4 linked regions of the Arabidopsis thaliana genome follow. The protein of the gene in region 4 interacts with the protein of the main gene of each other region in a pairwise test. Each region holds a gene or a part of one and is shown on either strand. Other genes may lie near its edges. The genes, in order: AT4G08570, RD26, HB21 and ZFHD1.

What was found.
Region 1: the proteins of ZFHD1 (region 4) and AT4G08570 interact in a two-hybrid assay, tested with the Arabidopsis thaliana proteins (one study listed by BioGRID).
Region 2: the proteins of ZFHD1 (region 4) and RD26 interact in a two-hybrid assay, tested with the Arabidopsis thaliana proteins (one study listed by BioGRID).
Region 3: the proteins of ZFHD1 (region 4) and HB21 interact in a two-hybrid assay, tested with the Arabidopsis thaliana proteins (one study listed by BioGRID).

Annotation. Positions count from the first base shown.
Region 1 is NC_003075.7:5,453,728-5,457,724, forward strand, and holds AT4G08570 (Heavy metal transport/detoxification superfamily protein), read right to left. Parts: upstream 2,374-3,997; 5' UTR 2,249-2,373; coding exon 2,092-2,248; intron 1,692-2,091; coding exon 1,396-1,691; 3' UTR 853-1,395; downstream 1-852. UniProt on the Arabidopsis thaliana protein: Heavy-metal-binding protein.
Region 2 is NC_003075.7:13,707,331-13,710,927, forward strand, and holds RD26 (NAC (No Apical Meristem) domain transcriptional regulator superfamily protein), read right to left. Parts: upstream 1,684-3,597; coding exon 1,475-1,683; exon of another isoform or gene 1,417-1,474; coding exon 1,125-1,416; intron 1,042-1,124; coding exon 598-1,041; 3' UTR 570-597; downstream 1-569. Other genes in the region: AT4G27415 (uncharacterized protein), read left to right, coding at 3,222-3,356. UniProt on the Arabidopsis thaliana protein: Transcription factors that bind specifically to the 5'-CATGTG-3' motif and with bipartite regions with 5'-CGTr-3' and 5'-YACG-3' as cores.
Region 3 is NC_003071.7:8,048,791-8,053,396, forward strand, and holds HB21 (homeobox protein 21), read right to left. Parts: upstream 2,527-4,606; 5' UTR 2,424-2,526; coding exon 2,336-2,423; intron 2,096-2,335; coding exon 1,758-2,095; intron 1,110-1,757; coding exon 873-1,109; 3' UTR 581-872; downstream 1-580. UniProt on the Arabidopsis thaliana protein: Probable transcription factor.
Region 4 is NC_003070.9:26,180,353-26,184,311, reverse strand, and holds ZFHD1 (zinc finger homeodomain 1), read right to left. Parts: upstream 2,157-3,959; 5' UTR 1,843-2,156; coding exon 1,114-1,842; 3' UTR 766-1,113; downstream 1-765. UniProt on the Arabidopsis thaliana protein: Transcription factor involved in the up-regulation of several stress-inducible genes. Acts as a transcriptional activator by interacting with MED25 and NAC proteins. Involved in increased drought tolerance.

The sequences.
Region 1 (3,997 bases), on a different chromosome or scaffold from region 4:
AAACATCAAGAAGAGAAAGTAGCCAATATTGTTAGCTTTTTCAACAGAAGTTAAAAGAAACAAATCTAAAAAAAACTAAGGAATTTTTTAAAAATTATTTAGCCTTAAAATAGAAGAGGAACAAAATTAACGTGAAGAAAACTTATAATTTTTTTTAATCTTTAATATATTGAAATTAATTAATTTGTTTAGAGAATGTAGGAAATTCAAATACTAAATTAATCAGTTCAAATTTTTGGATATTTTGTAATTTTGTTTCGGTCGAATATAAGATATTACACAAACAACAACTATATAAGTTCCTTTAAATCAGCTCAATCTTTGACTATTTTGAATATTTCATATTTTAATTTTATCAAAACCAACATCTAATATCAGTTCTTATAAATATATTTTTCCATCAAGATTTATCTTCACAAAAAATATTATGAACTAAACACCTTTTTTTCTTAAAAAAACAGTCGTTGGTAGTCAATCATGAGTGAAAGATAATATTCCTCTCTACTTATAAACACAATCTTGGTCTTCTACGTTTAGTTTCGATATTTTGATTCACTTGTATAATTTTGCTTTTGGCTTATTCATTTTACTTTAGTTTATTTGATTGATGTCTCTGTTTTCTTTAATCAGGATCAAACAGAGAAAAAATGGAAGCACCGGAACTCCATCATTAAGTTATAAGGGCCAATCAAAGGGCAAAGCTAAAGCTACTGAGGAACCGAATGTATCATCTTTTTTTATATAAACACATGTCACCATATATTTGTTTAGCTTATATGCTTTAAAATTATCAGTATATAGTGAGTCTTAGATATACCGAACTTTTTCTCCAACTTGTGAACACCGAGCTTAAATCGAAAATCTATTTCATAAGAGTACCCGATAATCCGGTGAAAGCAAAAATTCAGGAATTATTGAAAAATATGTTAAATTTAATTATACATTATCAGACATTTTATCACAATATGTATAAAATGTTTTTCCTTATTTGCCTAAGACCACCAAAAACCTAGGCACGCTCTGCTCATGACTCGTTGACCCGAGAACCAGCTTGGGAAAAAAGCCTCCGCGATTTGACTCGGAGTTTATGGTATCCTTTGAACTGGATCACACCCAAGTTATCCAAAATAAAAAGTGAATATACTCTAAACGAATGAATTATATATCATCCACTCATCAGCAGAATATTTCAAAACATAATTTAGCTATCTATAAAACCTCTTATTTAAATTCCTTATAAGTGTTAAGAAATCTCGATTTTCTCACGTAATAGTTGTAAAGCCAAACCCGTACACCACGACTCTTACGTAGGTACTATTACCAAAACCGATAATATATAATAGTATAATATAATCTATAGCCATATACTTAATTAATTTACAAAAGCACACTCTTCTACATGATAGCGCAAGAATTAGGGTTCTCGTCGCTAAACATAATAGTGTAAGAGTCATCGACGGTGGTCTCGTTGACAGAGGCCGTGTCGGGGACTTTCCGAACCATGTTTGGTGGTGCCTTCTTGTCATACGCCTGAGATATGTACGGATTCGCCACCATTGTGTAAGGAACGTACGGCCATAACTCCACTTTCTTCTTCGTTGACTTGGCAGCCTCCAAAACCTTCTTTGGGTCTATATATCCCGTTACCGTTACCTTCTGCAGCTTTACGTCCACGTCCACTGACTTCACCCCTGTCCAAACGAGTCCAATGCAAATTAAATCCAATTTTCATGTTTTTTTTTGTTAAATGTCACATTTTCTATCGTCCAACGAGTATATAAATTGGTAGTGTTATATATATTCAAAAACACATATTGTAATGCCAATATGTCCACTCGAGATTTAAAATTTAATTATACCCCATTCATATTATTTTTGTACATATATAGAAAAATCTACTTTTTTAAAATAAAAGTTGGCATTTAAAAAATGTTAGATATATCATATATTAATGATTTTCTTTGTCTATGGCTCTATGCTTTAGACGGGGCATGTACAAAAGTAGTGGAATGAATTTGATCCGTGGTTTCGACCAACATGGCAAATCTCTAACCATTATCATGATGGTTGGCTAAAACTGATTTTCTTTACCTTTGACACCGGAGAGGACATGTTTGATCTTACGTTCACAGCCTTCGCAGTCGATACGAGCAACACGGAGAGCTACTGTTTGCATTTGCTTCTTCTTCTTCCTCTTCCTCTTCTTTAAAAGGTCTGATATATACTCCATCGTTCCTTCCACTCCCATTTTCACTCACACCACTTCTCTTTGCAGTTTTTTTTTTTTCCTTGAAGATATTAAGAGGGAAAATATGTTCAAGGAGAGTGAAGATAAAAGTGAGGAAGAAAGGCTCTTTCTTTGTACCATATATGGTGCAGGGATGAGATTACATTTATCTACAGTGAGCGCATTTCATATAGTAAAGGAGATGTGACTCATGTGACAATAGCAGATTATTTGTTTATTTGTTGAGTTGTTTTTCTTTTGCTTAGTAAAAACAAAATAAAATAGGATTACATTATTGCTTCTGAAAGAACAAAACAAAGATCATTAATTGCTTTTGGGGTCTCGTGGAGGGTGCAAGAAACTTCCACCGAGGTGAAATGAAACTTTTGGCATTTAATCCATTATATATAGAGTTAATTTGTAAACTAGTCATTTGTTTAAACTTAATTGGAAAAATAGTCACTTTATTATTTATAATTTGTAAAATAGTCACTTTTCACTGTTTGATTCGTACATTTAGATTGTACACCACTTTTAGTGTACAAATATATATAAAAATATACAGCGTACACTTTACATTTGTACACTAAAAGTGATGTACAATCTAAGTGTACGAATCAAACAGCAAAAAATGACTATTTTACAAATTATGAATAGTAAAATGACTACTTTCCTAATTAAGTATGAAAAAGTGACTATTTTGCCAACACACCCTTATATATAACCCATGCAAGTTTGGGTGGGTAATACGTACGAATACTTTTTCAGTTTTTCTCGTTTTTTTGTTTTTTTGGCCGATCGTTGTTTGTTTATTTCTAAATAAAACAAATAAATAATATATTTATATTATATGAATTTTGATGGAGGTAATCTATATTCCAAATCATAAATATGTTGGAAAGTTTTAAAAAAAAAAGAAATATGTTGGAAAGTTTTAAAAAAAAAAAGAAATATGTTGGAAAGTTTAAGACGTCCATAAAAAACGTTAAAAAAAAAAGAAAAATATTTAACTTGAAATAATTATATAAAATATATGTGACATATTTACCAGTCTTTGCATTTTGGCATTCATAATTTTTTTTTTTGTAAGCGTACCATGTCTCGTTTTTATTATTTAAAATCTACTAATTCAAAAAGTGGGAAATAACAAAAGATAATGAGTATTAGTTTATGACTTATGAGATAGGGAACAGTCAAATGTTTGAAAAATTAAACGCAGACGTAAATAACTGAGGAGTGATTTATCAATTTTGGAGGACACATGGCAGTTAGTAATTGTGTGTCATGTTTCAACGGTAGACATTGATCCAAGTTTTTGATTGGGGTCAGTTGCATTTAAAATTTAAATGAATTGACAATAATATGTAAACAAAAATACAAATGAAAATGACATTCATGTAAACTCCGATTTGTTGCCAAGACATCTGGCTCAAAGTCAAAGTAGAATTGTTGATGCGATGAGAAGTTTTGTTTTCAAAATATGTATTTTAAAGTACCACCTGTTGCTATACAATTCATTGAGATTATATAACACTACTAGTAGAAATAAGCTTACCACAATTCAACATGTAGCGACTATCTGAAGAAAACATCCACTATTACGAAGTGATCTCTCGCATCAATCATTATACCAAATACAATTTATGGTGAATGAATAAAATCATCAGAAACTCTATATGTGTGCACAAAATTGCAACCACATGTTCTATAATAAGGAGCAATATCAGATTTAGTTAGAAGGAGGGGTTGCTTTCAAACTGTTTGTAATTA
Region 2 (3,597 bases), on a different chromosome or scaffold from region 4:
CATAATAAAACAGGAAGAATAAACTAGACATGAAGATCTCAAACACCTCTTCGTTAATGCTGTTTTTTCTTGCGGCCATGTTATGTTTCTTGCGAGCCAAGTCACAAGGAGTTTACTGCAGCAACCCTTAGGAACGATGCTTCCAAAAGTACATACTGTGTCCGCAAGAATGTCCCACCACCGGTGCCGCAAACTCTATGAACAGAGTCTGTTACGTAGAGTACTCTGCAACTCCGAGTGTCGCAGTAAGCGAAAATGCCTTTGAACTTTTTGTATTAAGCTTTTTACCAAATTTTGGGTGTTAAGTTATTCAATTCAGAACTTAAACCGTTTTGTGCAAATGGTATCAACACATAACCGGTGTAAAAATATTGGTAACCATTTATTTTTCTCTCCGTTGAGAAACATTACACATTTGTGGGCCGTCAAGTTGGATCAAACTAGTCCCCAGTCGAGCCTTTTTCCTTTGTGGAATCCTAAGCCTCACCGAATCGGTAAAAGCCCCATATAAATCCCTATTATTTACATCAATTGCCACTCTACTATCTCCAAGTTTTTTTTTTACTTTTTTCACCCATCAGTAACTTCACATCTCTCTCATTGCCTAAACTCGAATGTTTGACCCGAAACACCAAACCCACTCGAGCTGTACCCGAAACTCTGAGTCAACCCGCTCGAGTTCTGCTGCCGATTCACATGCCCACTCTCCGCCTCACCTTCCGCCGCTCGAAACGCATCGTAACCACCGTAACTCGGTAATCCATTGGTCGGAGCTAGCTCTGGAATTGGATTAAGACCTGCCAAGCTAGCCCAATCAAAGTTCCCGTTAAGAATCGTCCTGAGCGAATTCATCCGAGGAAGATTAAAAGACTGGTCTTTTATCTCCGGGAACGAATCAAGAACGTCGTCAAGCTGTGATGAAGAAGACGATGACGACCCATTCGTGCTATGCTCTTCACGACAAGCTTGAACAGGAGTAACAGCTTGTCTCTGAGATCCAGATGTTTTCTTGTAAATTCGACACAACACCCAATCATCCAACTGTAACAAAGAAGCAAACTTTATCAGATTTTGATTTCAATTTTAACGAATTTGGATCTGGGAAAGTTTCAGTCTTTATTTACCTTGGAGCTTCCATGGCTACGAGAATGTTCTATTAAGCGATACTCGTGCATAATCCAGTTGGTTTTAGTGCCTTTGGGAGCTTTTCCGGCGTAAAAGACCAGAGCTTTTTTAATCCCGACACGACGACCATCCGCCGTGATAATTTTGTCAGTACCCGTTGCTTTCCAATAACCCGACCCGGCTACTCTATTGGGTCTTGACCCGTTCGGATATTTCCGATCTCTTGGGCTAAAGAAATACCATTCCTTCTCTCCAAACAAAGCCTTACCTAAATAGTTACAATTATACTCCCTTTAGTTTTAACATTTTCTCAAATTAAACCCAAAAGTATGACAATTGAAAATAACACCCTACAAATGTGAAACATGTTTGCTTACTTGGCAAATCCCAAGGATCGAACTTGTAGAGATCGATGTCTCCGATGACCTGGAGAGAGAAATGATAGCCTGCAACTTTCCGACATAGATACTGAACAAGAAGCTCTTCATCTGTCGGATAAAATCTAAAACCTGGTGGCAAACTCAACTGGGCTAACGGATCTTTCTCTCTAACACCCATTTATACTCTTCTACTTCGATTCCTCAGCAACCAAAAAAAAAAAGATTTCAAGTTTCGAACTCTAAAAACCCAAATTATATGTTTTTGTTTTTATGTTCGTCGATCTTTTGGACAATATAGTAAGTAGTTGGTTTATATAGGCTACGGAAAAGCCAAAGGTTCTTCAAGGATAAGTACGGTCGTCCTTGTCTTACTGTTCTAAAATCTAATTACGATTTTCTTTGTGGACCCGTTTAACCATTTAGATACTGCCACGTCTATGAACTGGCCGACCTTATCGATGTGTTGTACAATATTTTCCAGCGATATAAATGTGCAAAAAACACGAGGAAAATTTTCTCATGAGTAAGAAATTTGTGTACTACGATTATGAGAAAAGTCCGCTGAGTGATTGCAGTAATTTATTTTTTCTTATTCCATCGTGACATGTAAAATGTCTAAATATTTACTAGAAATATTCTAATTATAGTAAGTTTTTTTCCACTGAGAAAGCAATGAAGCTTTATTATTTCTATATTCGACTATATTGGTGCCGTTCGGGTGCATGAACCGTCAGGAAAAGCTAAAGTTTATCGACACGTGTTAAGCCAGTTGTCCTTTCTTCTAGAATTTTGATCAAAAGCCTAACAACGATGTGTATCAAAATGCTCCAAATAATTAGAGGCCAGTTCGATATTTAGTTTGTCCTGAAGCACTCGATCACTACATAGATTGGAGTCAGAAAAAGAAAAGAAGAAGCACTAACTATTTGACAGATAAATCTATTGAGTAAAACAAATGGCACTAAGACGTTTTTATGAACAAAAGAGTATTAATCAGACACGCGTGGAATGCATTTTCCCGTCCGTGTGAATTGTACACGTGTTGGGAGAGTTAGGCAAGACTTCAATATAAAAGAATCAAAAGAGACAAAAAAGAAGAAAAAGTAATAATAAAAACAGCAGAAAATATTGAACAAGTGTACAAACTACAAAGTTCTAACTAAAATAAATTGAAAAGATACGTTAACATAAGACACGTATATACAGAACACTAATAGTATGATTTTAATATTTTTTAGTTAAAGATAATAACATTTGAGAATATATGATCGTTTGTATTATACCATTAAGATTATCTCACAAATGTAGCAAGTAGTCTCTTTGTTTTTGATTAAAGGATAAATTTCAAGTTTTGTCAGAACAACTAAATTCGATTTTTATATATATTTCAATGATTATCTCATAAAAGACTTATTTCATATATTTTAGTTTATATTTAAACAAAAAGAGGTTAATTAGGGTTTCGTTCACTCAAGAAATACTAGAAATGGCCTAAGAAGTTGACAAGTGAATATTTGGACCATGCTGAACAGGTCAGAGAAGCCTTTTTATATATAAACATGTGACGCGATTCAAAGAACTCGATTCTTCTTCTTCTTGATAATTCTTTTTTTTTTGTTCTTAATTATTATTATTCTCTACAAATCGTTTTCAATTGCTTTTCGGATTTTTAGATTTTAGTGAACGTGGAGAATTCTTGTTCACAGAGAGATGGACATGCCCACCCATTTCTTTTGTAAGATAATAATTTCTGAATATCAGCAAAGATACGACAAGTTTGGTTCAACGATTCGCATAACTGCAAAATGTGTTGATAAGAAACTCATCAATCGCTATTCAATTAGCGTATAATGCTCTTATGATCCTGACAAAAAAATAAATTAAGAGATATGGTTTTGATGACAATGAGGTAAAGAACAGATTGCCATAATCTAAACTTGTTCAAAAAATTCTTCAATGAATTTATTTTATTTTAATAACATTTTTCTACTTTTTTTTCAAAAATACATTTTAATTGACAGAAATTTACCACTTTTGCGATAAATATCGTTGGTGACGTTTAAATCATTTTAATATTTGTTTAGAGAATAAA
Region 3 (4,606 bases), on a different chromosome or scaffold from region 4:
ATATAACGTTCTTTAAAGAAATAAAAAACATATGTCCACCGTCCATGTTGAAACACGTACTTAGCAACCTGACAAGAAGACATGCTTTAGTTTCTATCAGGCTATAGATTCCAATGACCAATAGTCCGTATTCTAAACCGTACAAATTCTTATACGTATCATACTATCACGTATTGATGATGCGTAAAGTTGCTAATGGAGACGTTCACTGCAAATAAAAGAACATTCTTCCCCATAATGTAAAATATGCGACTTAAAAAATATCAAAATATTGACATACGCAATTCTTAATACTAAGCTCAATTTCTTTAAATAACTTATATTTTTACATGATAAATAGGAATAACAAAATAATTCTTCTTTATAAAAAAAGAAAAATTCGTAATACATTCTCAAACTGGTTATACGGTTTTGTTGATTGATTGTAGCATTTTTGTTTTCAACATATCCAATTTTTAAAGTGTATCTTGTTAGTTAGATTGTTGGTTATCCGGGTATTAATTTTAGAAGATATGTTTAACGATGTGAATGTAGTACTGAATACAATTTGGATGCTTTGACATTCACATGAATGATAATATTTATGCTTAATATTTCTATAACTAGATCAATAGAAATATACAATTTACTTATAATTGACAGATATATACATTCTTTTTTTCTTGGGTCCAAACTTGACCTCCATCGACCTAAATAATCGATGCTACGAGAAAGATATCCACAATATTACACTAGCGAATAGGCCCATAATTTTATCTACATCCTGCTTCATTGTAGATATCGACCAATCATAAATTAATGTAATTGTCACAATTAACCCCTATATATTTATATACTATACTACGACTGAAAATAGATTAGCTTATAGTTTTTTACATAAATTGGCTCATCCAGTCTAATCCATCAATGTAATCTGGCGAGTAGAGCAAGTTCTCGTCAGCCTCACCGTCAAATCCGATGTCGTAATCTCCAAAAAACGGTGTCGTATGATTGGCTTCAATGGTCACAGAGGATGAGATAGGACTGTTACTTAAAGTTCCTTCAACTCTTTTTGCAAGCCGTTGGATCTCTCTTTCAGCCTCGTAAAGTTGTTCCTTTAGGTGAATAACCTGAAATTATAATTTGATTTGATTTAGAGATAATCATTTCCCATTAACAGCTAATCATGTTATTATTAGAGTTTGATTTGATGAGTTTTATTTTGTGGGGCTGGTGATAAGAGAGACCCAATGAGTCAATGACTTAGACAAGCGAGTAACCACTAGAAAACAAAGGGTGTTTGTACGGAAAGATAATTACATATAATGACACTTTTGTTTTTTTGCTGTTCACTTTGCTGTATGATTTTCTTTTATAGAACCAAGATAATTACACTACAATTATTAGTTTACATATATTACTATTTTAGCTATAGAAGGTAACAAAAAAAAAAACTTTAAAATTCAATCAGCATTTTGATTTTTCTTTCTCATTTGCTTAATTATACTACGTGATGGTTTCACTTGGTGTCCATCATCTTGTAAAAACAATATAATTTAGAAAATATCTTTATACCTTATAGAAAAAAATAACAACATTTTTTGGTAAAACACTATAATATTTTATGTTCACAAATAGGAACTCTTGATTAAAAGAGAAAAACGGGTAACTTTTATCTTTGATCAACTTAAATAAAAGCTATAACTATATTATATTTAAAGATTATTAACCAAAATACCAAATAATTTACTTATCTTTTAGAAAATGTGAGAACGTACCTCAGAATCAAGACGACATTTCTCAACGACGGTGGTTTCGTATGCATTCTTGAGTTTAGTGTATTCATCCTCGACTCGTTTGTTCTTCCACCGTGCACGGCGGTTTTGGAACCAGACGGCGACTTGACGAGGATCAAGCCCTAACTCAGAAGCAAGCCGATCTTTCCTCTCGGATTCAAGCTTATGATCGTCTTCAAAGCTAATCTCCAACATTCTTACTTGCTCATCACTCAATTTTCTCTTTCTAAACCACCCATTGCCTTCGTTTTCACCCTCCTCTGCCACCACAACACTCTTGCTCTTCCTTTTCCTCCGCCGTGTTGGTTTTGCTTCTCCTCCTGGTCAAAGAAACCCATCAAAACCAATGGTACAACAAAACATAAATTCTTTAAATGTTTAGCTCTTTTAAGTCTTCTCTAGTATCATGTACGTATATGAAAATGAAAAGACTACAGAAGACAAACATATTATCCAGAACAAAAATAAAGAAGACCCACTTGAAGATATTTCTATAACCAATTTTGGATGTCTTTTTTAATATATGAAAACAAAAAAATGGAACTTTAGGATGTGCAAACCTTGTTGTGGTACTAATGGAGTATAGACATTAGGGTACAATTGAGAAATGAGTAGAAGATTATGATCATCTACATTCTGGTTATTCATGTTTCTTCTTTTCGTTCTCTAGACCTTCTTCTTCTTCTCTCTCTTAGATTCAAAAGATTGGTGATGTTTTTTGTCTCACCTTTTCTGCAATAAGAGAAGATGTGTTAGGAGAAGCAGAGGACTTATCATTTATAAAGGAGGAGTAGGTGTCAAGGGATGGTTTGATTAGAGTTTTTTTTTTTCTAATACATATTTCTTTTTTCCGGATTTGGGCTTATGATTCTTTCAAATAACATTATTGCCACTTAGCAAATCAAGACTAGTAGTAGATCTCAAATGACATATGTACATCACTTTCGTTAATATCTTAATAGTTAATATTGTTTCATATTGAAAATACATGACTTTAACTTGACAATATCATTTTCTTTGTCAAATTCATGTGACAATAAGTAAGAGACCAAAAAAAAAAAAAAGAATAAACAACCTCCCAATATTATTTGGACTATAAAATCATTTTATGTTTTTATAATTTGGTAACAATTGATAAATGGATCATTTTATGTTTTTATATATAAAATAGAAATCTTAACTAGAATTGAAAATTTATAATGCGGATATATTGTTTACGTAGGAATTTTCTAAAATATGCAGCCTATAGTTCAATAACTTTTCAACTAAACCGCCGTAGTTTAATTTATTCGATCTTTGTTGTAGATCTTACACTTTGTTGGCAATTTGGAACCAAAACTCACTTAATTACTAGAGCTCCTAAATAGTGTGTGTTTTGACATACAAACCCTTGATTATCTTAAGAAGCATAAACAAGTTAATTAGTTCATGTAAATTCTTATCAAAACAAAAAAAGTCTTATGAAACATATTCCATTTTTAAAATGCTTCTTAAGGTATGGATATTAACACGTACGTAGTCTTTAAAACCAAAGCAATAATCAATATATAGGTCGCCTTTGAAAAACTAAAGGAAATACATGTAATTATCATTTATAAATATGTAATGCGATAAAGCTTAATTTACGTGTGATGAGAGGATTAGAGGATGTCGTTATCACCATCATATGGATAAGTCTAAGCAACAACCTAAAAGAGAAAACATAACTGACTTGTCTTTCAAAAGGTAGTTTACTTTTACTCTCATCTCTCGTATACTAATAATTTTACTCACTCTTTCAAATGTTTTCTTTAATCGGTTTTTAAACTCGAAACATATATGGTCTACGTTAATGTTAACGTTTATTTTGTTGTATAGCCAAAATGGAAACACATTTTAGGTTATTCAGAGTTTAAAATAATAAATACGAGGTAATCGTTTTTCTTTTTAGCAATGATCAACATATATTTTGAACATACGTATGCATATGTACATACTGTAAAAATAACATTTCATAAATAAATAACAATATTCTGCATATAGAATCCATGTAAAACCGTGGTAAGTTATATTCAAAGAACAAAGTAACCTTCAAAATTTGGGTTTAATACATATACCTTAAAATTCAAACTACTCTACCCATTTTGAACAACTATTTTGTTTTGTTTTCTTAGAAAACGTTTTTACAAATGTTGACATACCCAGATTATATCTTTACCCATTTTGAATAATTGTTTTTCCTGTTTTACATTCTGAATAATTTAGATATATATATGACTTAATGTTATATATATATATATATATATATATATAGATATATTAAAATAAAATATATAATTTTAATATAGAAAATATATATATTGTGGAAAAAATGGCTAATTGTTAGTGAACGAGACTTCAGTGAGATCTACAGAAGAAGAATCTCAAAGATCCATGAAATTTAGGTCAAATCGGTTGAGATTTTAAAACTTAACTCTATGATACCATATTAGTGAACGAGAATTTGAAAAAAAAACGAAGAAGATGAAATTATTCTGTTATTCCTCTTAAAGATTCCGTTACAATGATACACTCTATTTGTATAATTAGAGTATTCGGTTAATCATGGATAATCTAACGTTTGATTCCTGGTTTACATAACCAATTTATATATTCAAATGAGTTAAAGTTAAGCTTTAAAACGAAGAAAAAAAAATGCTTAAAACCACGAAAATCAGTGTACGTACACCTTAATACACAAAAAAGTACATACATCAATCGATATTTTTTACTTTCTTTCATCGCTTCACGCCAATGAAACTATGAAAGAGCTTCTTTTCGGGTGATAAGGTAAGCACATGGAGTCTAATCAC
Region 4 (3,959 bases):
ATAAGAATTTGATATCTACATCATCAATTAATCGGACCACTAACATCTAAAATCGATATTAGCTAGGTATTGGAATATTGTCCAATCGGAATCTTAATTAGTAGCATACAAAAAATTCAATCATCCAACCATAAACACATATACCGATCTATAATGTAAATTATTTTATCCGCCAAATGCATGTTAAACAATTTGTGTACCATATATTGATCATTAATCATTGCATGCAGTTACTCGTATCTACATAGAGCTTTTGCATACATTGATCTATCTGGCATGGATATTCGTACCGGCCTTTTGTTAAGGCTTGGGCTTCGTTACTTCGTACATACATGGTAAAATACTTTGTCTCCGGCATTGAACTTACGACCATTTATACGTGATAAAGCATTCGCTATGATTCGTTAATACATGATGAATGAAAGAAAAAAAACGAATTTTTAATATCAGTGGTGCGGGAAGAGCCAAATCATTGCACATAGTAGATATTTTAGTAATCGTAACATCTGCATTGTACTTAATTAGGATAAATAAGCAAGATTGGTGTTGCCAAAGCTTATCCCTAAATGGAAAGAGATAAGCCAGCATTTTAATAACTTTTAATCATATCATATAAATTAACAACAAAAATGTGCCGCCCAGTGACCTAATTATATTCCGCCACGCCATAGTTTGTTGCAATTCGTAATAACCACGTCGTCGTATCTTCATTAAGCAAACTTTACTTACTCTATCTCTAAAGTTCAGGAGATTTATTTCTAATAATACAGAAGATAACATTGAATAATCAGAAAGTAAACAAAGAAACGAATCTTTTGATCTCTACGATCACAATTAGCGCTTATGCACTTACTATAATTAGAAATGGTCTATCAAAATTCGTTTCAACCTCCGATTTAAAAACTTATTTATTACCAAACCCATTTGTGATCTCTGACCACATCTCTGTCAAAGTGATGAAAATAGAAAAGATCAAACCGCATAAATATTTATATCAAGATCGATTACATGTTAGAGAAAAGACACTATTATATGATTTTAAACCGGTTAATGCTCATATTTTCCCAAATTAAAGTATCCTAATTCGGTTTAACCCGAATCTTGAATCTTTCTTCAAGAAGATGAAGACCCATCACCATCATTGCTGTGAGTGTTCAGACACAGGCCATGTTCGATCTCTCTGATCTTGCCATTGAGAAGTGAGTACTTGTTGTTATGCATCCACACTTTAAGAACTCCTCTCTCAATCCCAACTTCGTTACAAAACTCTCTCACCGACTTTTCATCACATCCGTTGATTTTCCAACCAGCTTTCTCTGCGAAGGCTCTCATCTTGATCTTCTGCTCCGGCGTGAATTTGGTTCTTGTTCGTTTCCTCATTGCTCCTCTTGAACTGTTCTCTGACCTAACCACCGTTGGATCTTGATCTGACGGTCCAGGGAAACCGGAGCTGAGAGAGAGAATCACGTGATGTGGAGGAGCTGAGGTGTAGTAAGAGCAAGGAACAGGAGAAGACACGTGACGAGACGGCGGCGACTCAGTGCCGGAGGGAGAAGAAATCGGAGGCGCGGTGAGGAAGTTGAGATTCTCGGAAGGGTCACGGCGGTGGAAGTTACGGTGGCAGCCACAAGCAGCGCAACGGAGAGAAGAAGGATCGGTGGAAGTAGCCGTGGGACTCGGCATAAACTCGCCGCAACCGTCGAGAGCATGGCCGCCGAGATTAGCCGCGTGGTTTTTCAAACACTCTTTGTAACAAACACCCATTTCTCCGGTGACAGTTAGTTCTCCGGCGATGGGAAGAGAGTTTAGAAGTTGTTGTTGTGGTTTGGAAGACAAATCCATAGCTTTTGTTTAGTTCTGTCTTTATAGTGTGTTTACTTAAATCTTTTGCTTTTGTGATTAATGAGAAGATTAGGTTTTGTAGTTTTATTTTATTTATTAAAAAAGGATAATTATGTAAGTGCATGTGACGATGATGTAATTATATCGGTAAAGAACATGGCAGTGATGAAATATAATTAGGACTTGGAAAATAATAATAAGTGCTTACTCACAAACGTCCAAAACATACAGCAAAAGAAAGAAAACACTCACTGTATATCAATGAAAATTCACAACTTCTTTTTTACTTTTTTTTTTTCTTGTTTTGGTGAAACAGAGATTTTTTTGAATATTTTAGTCACTAGTTTTGATATCTATTCATACGTTATATAGACAGACTATACACTTTGAACCTGTATAAAATATTGAATCTGAGGTCTTATCAGAAAGCAATGATTTTACGGGACATTTGTAAGATATGGGTTTTCACTTTCACCAGTGGGTAACTTGTTGTGTAAAAGAAATAAAAAAGATGAATAATTTCTGAGCGTGACATAAAATTTTAATTAATCGAATATATTCGAAGGAGAGGATGGGATTAGTTGGAAGATTTGAGTCCAAAGTGTATACGTGGCAATAGCCCATTACATGCATCGTACTAAAGGACAATTACAGCTGCCCTGCAGTTTCATATTCCACTGTACATATTACAGTTTCTTATTTTTAAGAGTTTACGTTACCACCCCATACTTCTGTTAATTTCACTGTATCACCCCTGCATTTTTATACTAAAACGTTTTAATCTTTTCAATTTTGATTCTGTTTAGGGACCATTTTCTTATCTAGAGGTCTAAAATCGTAAATTTTCCTATAACGATAATCTAACTAAACAATAAAGTCAATAAAATTTCTTACTAGTATAGGTATTACGTGTTCTAGTGAAATATTTGACTTATGCTAATGTACTAATTCGTTCCAAAAGGAAAAGTGCTAAACAACTAGAAGATTTTGTAGATTACCGAAAACACCTCTAAAAGAACTTCTTTCGCACGAATACTTAATACTTGACTCAATCGTGGAGCAAAGAAGAGTTTGTTGTGACAATTGCCAAACTTCATGTTTCGTAATTAATCATGAAATTTAAATGTCTAAATTCCTTAACCACCCTTTGGAAAGACTCTTATCTCTTACCGACCTTTTATTCTCACTTCTTGTCATTAGTGTGGCGCCGAAATTTAGTGTTCTTTCGCATTTTGCTTACGTTATTGATTAGCTTTTGGGTCACAATTATGTGGTGTATGTCTTCAAGTCTTCCTCTTCTAAGTACCCCACAATTATTTTGAATCTTCATTAGCCATTTTCCATATCGATTCTTATAGGGTTTGTTTTTACAACAAATATAGTTTCTATCAAAAAAATAAAAATTGAAGGAACATTTTGTGACTAGTTATTGTTACTTTTATGATGATCCATTCATGAAAAAAATGATGAACCTTTTCTTATAAGTTACAATGTTACTACATGTGAATGTTATTGGTAAGATCAAACTGCATGGCTAATTTTGTTATTAATTATAATTACTAAGGTCTTTACTCTTTAGAATTAAAGTAACAAAACAAATCAGACATCAACATTCATTTCGTTAAGCTTTGGATACTCGTTTAATTAACTTAAAATCTTATTGAAAGGCATATAAATTATTCATTAATGTATAGTTAAGAGTCTGATCCCTGAAATGAGACTAATTAAAGCATTGTTTGCGAGGAGAATAAATGAATAACAGTTGGTGTTACGTTTTGTCGTTTATCATAAACCTAGTCACCAATCACGCTTAATTAGAATCCAATTTACAACAATCGGGAGATATTTGACCATACAATAAAAATAATTAAATAAACGTATTTATTGTTTTACTAATAATTCGTTGACAGAGACTTTGATTTAACAATTTATTTACTCGTATCACAATTAGAATCATAAAGACGGATTAGAACAATCTCCTAACGATCTTGTCAATGACCGAAATAGCACGCGCATCCCGCAAACCGGCCACTAAGGTTGGAGAAAAAGTCATTTGTAGCCGAAATTTTAAATGTCATATGATCATGGGGTCATTTTTGCGTAACGTTTCTATCTAT